2 linked regions of the Macaca fascicularis genome follow. The protein of the gene in region 1 interacts with the protein of each later gene in a biochemical or structural test. Links are inferred from orthologs where the notes say so. Each region holds a gene or a part of one and is shown on either strand. Other genes may lie near its edges.

Region 1 (6,788 bases):
CCTACTGGGTTCAAATGATTCTCATGCCTCAGCCACTCAAGTAGCTGGGATTACAAGCTTGTGCCACCATACCTAGCTAATTTTTGTATTTTTAGCAGTGACAGGGTTTCTCTGTGTTGGCCATGGTGGTCTTGAACTCCTGGCCTCAAGTGATCTGCCCGCATTGGCCCTCCAAAGTACTGGGATTATAGGTGGGAGCCATCGCACCAAGCCCTATTCATCTTTTATAGTACCTCAGAGTATTATGCACAGATGAGAATGCTCATTAAATGCTCAGGACCAAGTACACTAAAAAGGAAATCAGTTTTTTGTTTCCCCTTTCCCATGTTAGGTTTGTTTATAGAGTACTTCAGAAAGTACTGAGTGACACTGTAAATCCAGTGGAAAGGGCAACTGACTCACAAGTGAGAAATCTCATATTCAATTCCCAGCTTTACCATTTACTTAGGCATGCAGCTTCTGGCAAGTCAAACTCTATGACTGCTTGTCAAGATCTGTAAAATGGTATATCATTTGCCAGGTCAACCCAGGATTAGTTGGTCACCAACTAAATTCTACAGGAGACCATGATCACTGTACGTAAAGAACTTCTAAGGTTACTGTAGAAAACAGTTAAATACTGGAAAAAATGAATGTGTTTTCATTTTAGAACTGGAAAAGACCTTAAATGATCTTGTTTAATCCCTCAGTTTACATAAGTAACCACAGGCCCAGAAAAACGTGGTGACTTCCTCAAAGTTACAAAAATATATTATGGCAGAATCAGTACAGCATCTACATTTTCTAATTTTCAGTCCAGAACACTTTCCACTATACCACCCTGTGTAACACTTCTTGCAACCCATCCCCTCTTTTATTCCAATATTCTTTACAGCCAGATCTAGATGGTAAACACTAAATGACTTTTAAAAAGTACCTAGGCAGATTTCTGAGGCTGAGACTTTACCTAATTTGATTGAACTGAACTGAATCTAAGATGTGACAAACTAATACTATTGAGTTACAATATTAGAAATGCAAGATCAGCTGATGTCTTAGAAATATGTATCTACTAAATGATTGCATATTTGGCCTGTGGTTGAATTATTTTTTTTTACAGTTTCTAATTATATTGATATAATGCAATTCAATTATATTGAGAAATACATAATATGATTTTCTTAATTTAGAAGGTAATATTCTCATACAATATAAAATATTGAAAGCAACATAAAGTAGTTTTTGTTTCTGGTCATCTTCCTCTGTTATCTTACAACTGAACTGGAAGTGTAATCTAAGTTGACAAATAGCTAATAAGTGTCCTTGGTTCACTCTGGATTGTGTAACACTGGTTTAATGTATGCAAATGAAGAACATGATGGAAATTATGTAATGCTTTCAATATCAGAAAGATCCAAATACAATCTTTAATGCAAAAATGAACTGAGTATTAAAAATGAAGGGGAATAAAACAAACAAAAAACCCAAATGACTGCCTAATATTAAAAACAAATTTTCGTCTAAAAACAAAATCCTACTCCCCAGAAATGTCCTAAACACACGCACACCCACATACACACAAAGATTGAAACATTATCTAAATTGAGAGAAGGGTCTTGGAAACACAGAAACCTAACCAGAAGTGAAATAGCTTTAGGGGAAGAACATCAAAATGATAACTACCTCCTTAGTAATTTGTTTTTCCATGAATCAAGAATGTAAAAAGCTTTAGAAAGTAGCATACAAAAACTAAGGTTGTAAGAACCAAATGAAGTAAGTTTGTGAAAGCATTTGGTAGACCATAAAGCACAAGTTATTATTATATAACAATTTGTAGTCTACAAGCATAGCAATTCACCACAGAGGAGACGTAAACGCTTATTTAAAAACTGCAATTCTTGTATACTGACTCATGGAATTTTTATTCTTAAAAAAGAATATTAGCCATGAAAGTTGGATCAACTATCCACTTCTGGAAAAGGAATTTATCATAGCCTCAATGTAAAAAAAAAAAACTTAAAAACATTCCCCCCTCTTTTCAAAATACAGGTCTTCTTTTAGCCATGTGACCTTAAAGCAGGTCACATTTCCTCTCTGGAACTAGGTTTCCTAATATGTGTCAGGCCCTGTGGTAGGTGTTTTGCATATAATGTCTACTAAGATCTGTTATGCAGATAAGATGAAACAGAATTTATTAGCCCTTTCTAAAACTAAAATTCAAAGGGGTTAGGAAACTTGCCCCAAATCACACAGCTAATAATGGCATATCTGATACATTGAACTTTCCTCTAATTCCAAAGACCTTGCTTTTCCCACCATATTATCTTGTAAAATGAGGATGTTCTCAATGATCTCTAAAGTTACTTTATGTGATAAAAAGTATATAATTCAGTAATCCATTACTCTTCCAAAACATGCACAGGAAAAAAAAATTTATTTGTTGAACGTTATCTCACTACTTCGAACTTGCTGACACTTAAAAATAATTTTAGAATTTTAAAGTAGACATAACTTGTTGACAATCTATAATATTTCACTAGGTTTTTCACGGGATATATAACGCAAGTGCTTAATAAATTAAAAAAACGGCAAATAAATGGTAAGATATAGTATTTTCAGCCAAAGTTTTTAACAAGTTCTAAAGTCTCTTTAAAAAATATATATGCAGCTTTTACTTTTCTAAATTTTATAGTCATTAGAACCCAATTTACCTCTCTGTTAATCTGAAAAGCAACACTTTAAAGTCACTTTGAAATAGCTTGTTCTAAAATGAATTACTGCAGAATAAAGAAAGGATATGGGTTTTCTGATAGCGATTTCCAGTCTAATGTTATATTCTGATTGTCACCGATCATTCGTTATCTCTTCAGAATATGCTACTTGAAACATCTTTTGATCGTAGACCAGTCTGTGTTACTTATGGTGAAATTCACCTACGTTAGCCCAACTGAAAGCCGAGCGTTTAAACATTACGAGTATTGCTGTGCGGTATCGGAGAAACTGAGAACCATTCGATGCTAAGGGAAACACTTTATTAGACTTGATGATCTACTAATTTAACAAGCATTTATTGAGCATCCCCTACATGCCAGATACTGAAGTAGAAGTCGAACATAATACAATTATTGGCCATTAAGAACTTCACGTCCAGCGGACTGAAACTCCAGAACGGCTACGATCTTCGCTGAAACTACTACTTACAGATACGAGAACTGGAGGACCACACTGTCTCACCAGTTCATTCTCCTGTTTATCACCGGAATATCAAATCCAAAAGCAAGAGTACTCAAGACAGGAAAAAAGGCAGCTACTCCCAAGCAGTTGAGCTCAGAGAGTAACCCCCACTCCCACGTCAGTGAAGGCTGTTGGGTCTCCCGGGTGGACCCCACAGGGTCCCGCGAATTAGAGGGGCCGGGGAGGCACCTTCAGAGCCGGGACCAGACAGAGGCAGGGGCGGGCCGGGCCGGTACCGGCGTCTCCATGCAGGGCCTCGCTCACCTCTTCCACCTCGATTTCCTTGTAGTCGATCTCTTCAAAGTTGAGGACTTGAGAAGGGGCTTCGATCATCTCACCGGCCGAAGACGAGGAGGAGGAGGAGGCGGCAGAGGCTGTAGACATGATCCCTCGCGGCGCCCGGTGGGGCCGGGAGCGGTGCCGCCCGGACAATCCGGGTGAGATCCACGCCCACCCGCCTCCGGACCGACCCTCAGGCTGGAGCCGCGCAGTCCTGCTACCCGGCGATCCGTGGCGGGGATAGCGGCAGCGGCCACAGCCGGGTCCGGATCTGGCTCCGCTGCGTTTTCCGCCGCTGGGCCCCGCCCACTACACTTCCGGTTCCGGGCTGAAATCGGAAACAGGAGGTGGGCCGTAAACTCCGGGGGAGGGAAGGGGAGAATTTTGTGACTTGGAAAGAAAAGGAGGGACAGGTTGGGGGTGGGGTGGAGTAAACTAAGAAGCAAGCTTGGACCTCTAGAACAAATTTCGCGAGACCTTTATTACAGGGCCTCAGCAACCGGATGATACCGCGAGAGAGGACGCCTGACGTAATTAAAGTGCGCGAACGGAAGTGGCGCGGAACATGACGGAAAATCAGCACGGTTGGTCCCTTAAGGACCAGCGGGAAAGATAAAAGCTGGCGTTTAGTCTCTGCTGTGTGAAGTATGTCTTGGCCTCTCTTTCTCTCCTTTGAGCTGCCAGCAGACGGGCGAGGTGGTGTTGAACTGTGTTTTTTGTGACGAAGCTTGCTTTTAAGTTTCATCCCTCAACTAAGTTGACCTGTTTCTTTAAGACGGCTTGCAAAATGTGTTTTCCTCAATGTGGGATATGGAAGGAAGCAGTTGCTCCTGTTACTTTGAGCTAGTCCCTGACGCTATGAGAAATTCTAAAAGAGCGAATCAGATCATGCAACATGAATAACTATGGAGGCTGAGTGATCAAAAACAGAAGTTAATATTTTGGTGTTACAAACTTTACACAGATTAGGTGGATAAGATATTTACACTTTGGTGTGTTCATCTCAAGTTATGGATTACGAGTGCGGGGCACTAGTGCTTTAGATTGGTAAATGAATCATCAACAGTCTCCTTGAAAATCAAATATTTTCATCACCATTTTCAGGACGTGAGAAAATACACTCAGAGTTTAAAGCAATTATGGTCCTTACAAACTAGATCAATCTGTCCCCAAGATGGTCAGTATTGCTCATGTTGTACTACCAGCACAAGTTTTAGTTTTAAACTAACTGTTGAACTTTATATAGTCCGTTTGACATAAAGCCTAACTGTGGAAAATTGGAGTTAGAGATGAAGATTTAAAGACCAAGGATGGATTCCTGCGAATGTCAAATTCTAAGTTTCAGTAAGAGACTGAAAGGAGGAAGTGAGGAAAATAGTAATTGGAACATCACCAGAGGTGAGCTTTCCAATGAAGAAGTAGCCAACCAAGTATATGCTGTACAGAATTATGTTAAACACATTTGGGATTGCAACTAGATCATTGGATTTGACCATCAAGAAGTTACAAACTTCTTGGAAACGTTCTGTCACTTTTTATTCACAGTTCTAGTGACTCGCAATGACAGTTTGATGAGTGGATAAAAAAATGAAAGAAGCAATAATTTCTTTCCACTGTACACTCTTTGTTTGCATGATCTTACCCAAGGTCTCTGTTTCTCATACCATTTTTATAATGATGACTTCTAATCTCCGAATACTCAAGATTTTTCCTGAATTCTGGACCTATTGGACATCTCTATTTAGATAAACAACTAAACTTCAAGATACCACAGCAAATTCAAAAGTTGTCACCCACCACAAATATATTTCTATGTGATTTTCCTATATCACGTAAGGATGCCATCACCCAGTTGGTTGTCTGAGAAGTCAGGGCATGTGAAATGATGTGTGGTGCACTGATACCCAATATAAGCTGATTTAATCAGTGGCACAGTCATTTTCACCTGTCATTCCCCTTGCATTTCCAAACAAGGATGGTCACTTCTTACCTTGTGCTATAACTGCAGGTCTATATCTGATTTCCCTTTAACACCTTGATCTTGCTGCCAGGTGGGAACTCAATAAATACTTACATATTCTGTACAAATGAATAGCTTTTGTCAGTCCTCCCTTTCCCTGGAGTATAAGACATGTTTTCTGTACCTTCAGTTTAGGACTGGAATCTTGACAAAGGGCTAATTACTACAGCCATGATGCAGTTCTCCTGCTTGATTATTTTTCCCCAAAATTTTGTTACAAAAATGTCAAATATAGAGAAAGGTTGAAAGAATGTTTATCATAATATACATATGTGCATCTCTCCATTCATCCGTATTTACATCCATCTACCATTTTGCTAGATGCATTTCGAAGTGAATTGATTACATGATTTTGAATATCTTCTACCCCAACACTTCTGTGTTTTATCCACTGATTTGGACTTCTGATATTGATGCCAGTCTAAAATCAATTTTTGTCCAACTTGCTTGGAGATTATTTTTTTCTTTTTTGTCTGCCTGCGCCTTTTCCCTAGCTTCTGATAATAGATGGAAAGTTTCATCAGTGTTTATGTCTCTGGGTTCAGTCATTCCCAAGGTTCAATCCATCGCTCACATTCTGTGATTTGGTTATGTGAGCTAGTAAATTACCATTTCATTTAAGCTGGTCCCAGCTGCATTTTTTGTATGACAAAAAATGCAGGATTATCTTGCAACCAAATAATCCTAAGTAATAAAGTTTAAATGCAGAGGAATGATGGAGGGGAACTGAACCTCTCTCAGTTCACTTCAATTTTGACTTTGCATTTCCTTTAACTTTCATGAATAAAGGATAGAAGCTTGACTTCACAATTTCATGTCAGCTTCAGTCACCAGTCCATATGTCTCTACAAATTTCCAGATACATATCAAAACTATTTAGGTAAATTCCTTGAAGTCCCTCTGAGTTCGAGCACTCTCTACCATTCTCCCTCATGTCAGCACCCTAATAACTACTCTCTAACTTCCAACTCTGTCTTCAATTTTGGCCCTTTTATACTCTCCAGGGGATGAGAGGACAAGGGTTTCAAAATCCATTTCCCACCTCCTCTTCACTTGTTCTAAATGAGGTTCTGATCCTATTTGGCTCATTTTGGGTGTAGCAATATCTGGGACCTATTTTCATGGAGGCTTAGCAGAAACTGGGACTAAAGTAGCAGCACTTTAATGTTCTGGGTCACATATATGTCAGACAAGTGCTCCATATTTCCATCATAGGCTTGATGATAACATCAATAATTAAGTTTCCATTATTCTCTTCTGCCTTTTGTGGTATTTG
Region 2 (6,886 bases), on another chromosome or scaffold:
TAGCAAATTTTACTAGTAACCAGTCGCAAACACATGTGGAAGCCAGCCAATGTATTGGTGAGGTTATTATTTTCGTAACTTTACAAAGGAAAACTATTCCCCCCTGCTCTTTTTGTGTCCTGACTGAAAATCATGGAGTGCTTTGACCACTCTCACCAGCCAAGCTGCAGGTTCTTCCCAGAAGGCTTGAATCCAAACCAGAGCCTAAAACAATCCCAGGCACTGATAGAGGTATTTAGGTTTAGGTTGCTGCCCAAAACACTAAAAGAAACTGGTCCCGGCCCTCGACCAAATTCCTTATAAACTTATATAAACCCCATACCCTGACGGTCTCACGGCAGCAGACACACCAAGGTAGACCATCCTCCACCTTTTTTTTTTAGACAGGGTCTTTGTCACCCAGGCTGGAGTGCGATCATAGTTCACTGCAGCCTTGAACTCCCGGACTCAAGTGATCCTCCCACCTCGGCCTCCTGAGTAGCTGAGACATGCCTGGCAAATTTATTTATTTTGAAATGGAGTTTCGCTTTTGTTGCCCCAGCTGGAGTGCAGTGGTGTGATCTCGGCTCACTGCAACCTCCATCTCCTGGGTTCCAGTGATTCTCCTGCCTCAGCCTCCCAAGTAGCTGGGACTACAGGTGCCCGCCACCATGCCCAGCTAATTTTCTATTTTTAGTACAGATGGGGTTTCACCATGTTGGTCAGGCTGGTCTCGAACTCCTGTCCTCCGGTGATCCGCCTGCCTTGGCCTCCCAAAGTGCTGGGATTACAGGTGTGAGCCACTGTGCCTGGCTGCTAAATTACTTTTTGTAGAGACAGGGTCTTGATATATTGCCCAGGCTGACTTTGAACTCGTCTGCTCAAGCAGTCCTTCCACCTTGGCCTCCCAAAGTGCTGGGATGACAGGCATGAGTGACAGTGCCCAGCCAGTTGGCCATGCTTTTTCTCTCACTGTCCGCCTGAGGATATGCTGCAGCACTCTCTAAGTTCCCCTCATAAATGCTCCGGACAGATCCCTCTGGTGTTTAGTGCTTCTTTCTTTGGAATCGCAACTGGCCTGATCTCAGAATGGTTTTGGGCACTCTCTTGTTGGAATTTCCCTGCTGCCACTTTTGGAGTGACTCTTACCTAGTCTTAGGTTCAGTGGGACAAAATAAAGGGAACGCAAAAAATCCAGTGAAAATCATTTATCTAACATAAACAATCCATATCAACAGTAGCAAAATACACCAAGATACTCCACACATTACCAGTGTTCTTCCAACTCTCATGAGCACTAGCATCTCCATCCGATTGCTGGCTCACACCTCCTGTTTCTGAGTCAGTTGGTCTGGAGGGGGCCCAAGAATTTGCTTTTCTAATCAGTCCCTAGCTGCTGCTGTTGCCGGTGGGAGAACAACATTTTGAAAACCATTGTGTCAACACATGAAGAGCACCATTCTAATCTTGTAGGGAAAATATGCATATGCACCTGAGTTCTGGGATCTAGGTGTCTGAAGCAGTTAAAATAGATATACCCCAAAATAAGTGTTTTTCATTGAGCTTTCATCCTGAGATACTTGTTCCTTCATTCTGAGTGAAGTACAGGATTCTTCTTGCAAGGATGAAGTGAGGCCGAGTGAGTTTGCCAAGCAGCTCTGTACAAAGAGTCGTCGTCTTATTCCCCCTGAGGGATCACTCCTGCCTGTGTGCTAAGTAGCCGAGAGTTCTCTGCCTTTCTTAAAAGCTCCTCAAAAATCCCATTGTGCATGTAGAAGAAGATATACCCAGAGTGAAGCCTCGCCTCCTGCATTTTGGTCTCTGAGATTTCTGATACACGTAGATCGTTGTATGTGAACCAGGCCTGCTTCTGAAAGTCATACACATCGCTGATGTAATGGCCTGAATTTGGGGAGCTCCCAATGTGGCTGACAACACTGATGAGTCTGTAGGCCTGGAGAGGATCCCCCATCTTCACGTTTCTTGTCAGTTCCTTGGCTTCACCTCTTGTGTTCTCTGTATCTAAAATGTTTTTGTTTCCTGGGTTATCACAACCCAATGCCTCGAGGTGGTTCAGGTCAGCCTGCTGAAGTCTTAATTCTGTAGACTGACTGGGGGTCTCCTCTGCATGTTCCTGGGCATCCAGTTTCCTAACACCTGGAGGTGGTGCCTGCTGAAGAAATTCCTCTATGATGCTCTCCTCAAAACACTGCTGGAACTGTTCAGTCATTCCTTGAGATCCTTCTGGAATCCTGTTTTCTTTACACTCATAAAAGCCATTGGTAGACTCCATGACACTGTCAAAATCAAACTCTACGAATGTATTGGTTTTCTCATACTTCTGAAGTTCTGGATGTTGAGGCACTTCTTGAAGATGAACCTCGACAAGCCTTGTGTCTGGGCTGCTGATCGGCTTCCCTCCATCTTCACATATCACAGGAAGAGAAATGTCTTCCTGGTCCATCAGTGAGTCAGCCACTGGAAGCTCCTGTTCACTTATTGCCCTATCTCTAAAGTGGACCAATTCTGACTCTAGTGCAGAACCATTTTCCAGGTCTCCCTGATGCTGCTCTTGGCTTTCTTCTCCACAGTCTCTCTGGGATCTTTGTAGGTCGGCATTCTTCTCTGGTTCAACGGGTAGAACCAGGGAATCACTGGATTCTGAGGTCAGCTTCATTGATGGTGTCAATGGGCTGGTGATCTCAGAAATCATCTCCTGAGAGACTTCCAGGACTTCACATTTCCCAACAGGTGCATTACTGCTCAAGGGAAGAGGTGGTTTGGTGCTTTCATTGCAATAAGAAGATAAGCTTAAATATTTGGGAATATAAACTTGCTCGTTATTCTTCACCAGCAACCAAGCATTGTTGAAGCTATAGCGTTTCAGATGAACGATAAGGACCCTGGAGAGCCTACTAAATGTATGCCTTGCAACACAACTCTTGTGCTTACACATCTCACAGTTATACTCAAGCTCTTCTTCTCTAAAGAAAAGATCTAAAGAATTCTGAATGGACAAAGGAAGTGGTTTTGTTTCTTGGTGCAGGTTGATGGAGAGATAATTGTTAGGTTCTACCTTGAGAACCGCATGACCACAGGCTTTACAGACAATGGAGAGCTGCAATTCAAACTCAAAATTAGCAACAACAGGACAAACAAACACTTTGGTGGCAGCACTACCAACATGCATTTGTGGAGATGAATTTTCATCCCCGCATTTTTTCCCAGTATTCAAAATGGCATTTAAGTTCTCCATGTCTTCTTTCAGCTGGTCTAAACACTGACCTAAAAACTCATGCGCATCATTCTGCATGTTGCCAGAAAATATTTCTGCAACTGCTGAAATGACTTTTTTAACATTCCCAAGTAATTCTCTCTTGATCTCTGTACTACAGAAATCTTTCAAAGCAAGCAGCTGGGTCAAGGTCATAATAAGAGCCTCAAAGGGAATATATTCCCATGGGACATCTTGAGTGAGTAAGTCATCAGCAAAAGACGGAATTGCAAACAGCGATTGTAAAATTGCATTCATGTAACAGGTGTTTCCCAAATTGGGGAACCCTTGCTGCAGTTGCTCTGAATGAGAGTCAAGAGGCACCTGGGCTTCGTTGCATCTCGGGTCATCCTGGCTGTGCGCTGGTTCTAATGGAAATGTCAAACCATTTTTGGCATCGAGAGTCTGGGTTGCAAGAACAGTCTCATCTAGGTTAGGATGTCCATTAGAGTTGGTCTTGAATGAAGGCCCGAGTTTCAAATCGCTAGCTTTTTCTAAATCCTCTAAACTTGATGGGTTCTTCCTATTGCTTTGTATATATTTCAAGGAATCTGTCTTATATTTCTTGTTTGGTACAGGGTTATGTTCCTTCAGAATGTCCTCATTCATCTGTAGACCAGATGCTAGTGGGTTTTTCTCCTTCCCACCTTGATTTTCTAATAACCCTTTTTTCACATGTGTTGGTGATTTTGACATAAACAAAGGCATCTTCTGATAACTTGGCTTGTTACAAATCCCGTAAAATGAAGTTTTGTCAATTTCCTTCAGCACATTCCTGCTTTCAAACACACTCCAATCATCATCAGGTTTCACGGGTTGCTGAAATTTGTTTTGATGTATTATGTCCAGGAACATATTCAACTGTTTAGCATCTCTGTAGGATAATTTGTCAATAAACAAGAACACATTGTTTTTCAAAGTTAAACGCAGGTGACTTTGTCTTTTTTTACAATGTCTAAGGACCACACTTCTAATGTTATTACTCAGCTGAAAAATTCTTATAAATTTTCCAGATTTGAAAGTGACCACCAGTTTAATTTCCTTTTTTCTTTGCACTGTTTCAATGAGAGCTTCTTTCAACTTAGTCATCCCAGTCCTCTGGCTCCAAATCTGGATGAATCCACGTACCTTTAGAGATATCATCCTTTCTTTATGTAACCTAAAGAAGAAAAGCACACATGCATTTTAACCAAAAATATATTAACAGTTATATTTTATGAAAAACCTCATCCACATATAATAATGATTTATTTTTCGTCTTCTTATGCTCTAAGTAAAACACTCTTTTGGGGAACTGCTCGTATTCTGAAGCTACGCCAGTTCTGTAGAAGACATAGACTGAGGGCACACACTCTTTCAAGGGAGCTGTTAGACGAGAAAGAAGATACAAATGGCCAACAGAGAGATGAACAGGTGTTCAACATCACTGCTCATCGAGAAATACAAATTTGGTTGGACATGGTGGCTCATGCCTGTAATCCTAGCACTCTGGGAGGCCAAGGTGGAAGGATCACTTGAGGCCAGAAGTTCAAAACCAGCATGGCAACATAGGGAGACCTCATCGCTACATAAACTTTTTTAAATTTAAAAAAGGGGAGGGGCCAAGATGGCCAAATAGGAACAGCTCCGGTCTCAGCTCCCAGCAAGACCAACGCAGAAGGGGGGCGACTTCTGCGTTTCCAACTGCGGTACCCGGTTCATCTCACTGGGACTGGTTAGGCAGCGGGTGCAACCCACAGAGGGTGAGCAGAAGCAGGGTGGGGCATTGCCTCACCTGGGACGTGCAAGGAGCCGGGGACCTCCCTCCCCCAGCCAAGGGAAGCCGTGAGGAACTGTGCTACTTGGCCCGGATACTACGCTTTTCCCACGGTTTTTGCAATCTGCAGATCAGGAGATTCCCTTGTGTACCTACACCACCAGGGCCCTGGGTTTCAAGCACAAAACTGGCCAGTTGTTTGGGCAGACACCGAGCTAGCTGCAGGAGTTTTTTTTTTTTTTTTTGTACCCCAGTGGTGCCTGAAACCCCAGTGAGACAGAACCATTCACTCCCCTGGAAAGGGGACTGAAGCCAGGGGTCCAAGTGGTCTCACTCAGCAGGTCCCACTCCCACAGAGCCCAGCAAGCTAAGAACCGCTGGCTTGAAACTCTGCCAGTGCAGCAGTCTGAAGTTGACCTGGAATGATGGAGCTTGGTTGGGGGAGGGGCATCCGTGATTATTGAGGCTTTAGTAGACACTTTTCCCTGGACAGTACTAAGGAGGGTGAGAGGTTTGGACTGGGCAAAATTCACCACAGCGTGGCAAAGCAGCTGTGGCCAGACTGCTTCTCTAGATTCCTACTCACTGGGCGGGACATCTCTGAAGGAAGGGTAACAGTCCCAGTCAGGGGCTTACAGATAAAATCCCCATCTCCCTGGGATAGAGCAGCTGGGGAAGGGGTGGCTGTGGGCACACAGCTTCAGCAGATTTAATCTTTCCCACCTGGTGGCTCTGAAGAGAGCAACTGATCCTGATAAGAGGGATTTCCCAGCACAACAGCTCTGCTAAGGGACAGGCTGCCTCCTCAAGAGGGGCCCTGATGCCCGTGCCTCCTAACTGGGAAGACACCTCCCAACAGGGGTTGACAGACACCTCACACAGGAGAGCTCTGGCTGGCATCAGGCTGGTGCCCCTCTGGGACAAAGCTTCCAGAGGAAGGAACAGGCAGCAATCTTTGCTGTTCTGCAGCCTCCACTGGTGATGCCCAAGTGTACAGAGTCTGGAGTGGACCCCCAGCAAACTGCAGCAGACCTGCAGAAGAGGGGCCTGACTGTTAGAAGAGAAACTAACAAACAGAAAGCAACAACATCATGAACAAAAAAGACCCCCACACAATAACCCCATCCAAAGGTCATCAGCCTCAAAGATCAACGGTAGATAAATCCACGAAGATGAGGAAAAACCAGCACAAAAACGCTGAAAAATCCAAAAAACAGAATGTCTCTTCTCCAAATGATCGCCAATTCCTCTCCAAGGAGGGCACAAAACTGGATGGAGAATGAGATTGACGAATTGATAGAAGTAGGCTTCAGAAGGTGGGTAATAACAAACTCCTCTGAGCTAAAGGAGCATGTTCTAACCCAATGCAAGGAAGCTAAGAACCTTGATAAAATGCTACAGGAATTGTTAATTAGAATAACCAGTTTAGAGAGGAACATAAATGACCTGATGGAGCTGAAAAACACAGCAAGAGAACTTTGTGAAGCATACACAAGTATCAATAGCCAAATCGATCAAGTGGAAGAAAGGATATCAGAGACTGAAGATCAACTTAATGAAATAAAGCATGAAGACAAGACTAGAGGAAAAAAAACGAAAAGGAATGAACAAAGGCTCCAAGAAATATGGGACTACGTGAAAAGACCAAACCTACGTTTCACTGGTGTACCTGAAAGTGACGGGGAGAAGGGAACCAAGTTGGAAAACACACTTCAGGATGTTATCCAGGAGAACTTCCCCAACATAGCAAGACAGGCCAACATTCAAATTCAGGAAATACAGAGAATATCACAAAGATACTCCTTGAGAAGAGCAACCGTAAGACACATAATCATCAGATTCTCCAAGGTTGAAACAAAGGAAAAAAATGTTAAGAG

The links.
Region 2: the proteins of MAP3K7 (region 1) and USP29 form a complex in vitro, tested with the Homo sapiens proteins (2 studies listed by BioGRID). The link is inferred for Macaca fascicularis from reciprocal best matches to the Homo sapiens genes MAP3K7 and USP29.

Annotation. Positions count from the first base shown.
Region 1 is NC_088378.1:84,780,414-84,787,201, reverse strand, and holds the start of MAP3K7 (mitogen-activated protein kinase kinase kinase 7), read right to left. Parts: upstream 3,806-6,788; 5' UTR 3,598-3,805; coding exon 3,478-3,597; intron 1-3,477. UniProt on the Homo sapiens protein: Serine/threonine kinase which acts as an essential component of the MAP kinase signal transduction pathway. Plays an important role in the cascades of cellular responses evoked by changes in the environment.
Region 2 is NC_088393.1:64,939,756-64,946,641, reverse strand, and holds USP29 (ubiquitin carboxyl-terminal hydrolase 29), read right to left. Parts: upstream 4,413-6,886; 5' UTR 4,397-4,412; coding exon 1,658-4,396; 3' UTR 768-1,657; downstream 1-767.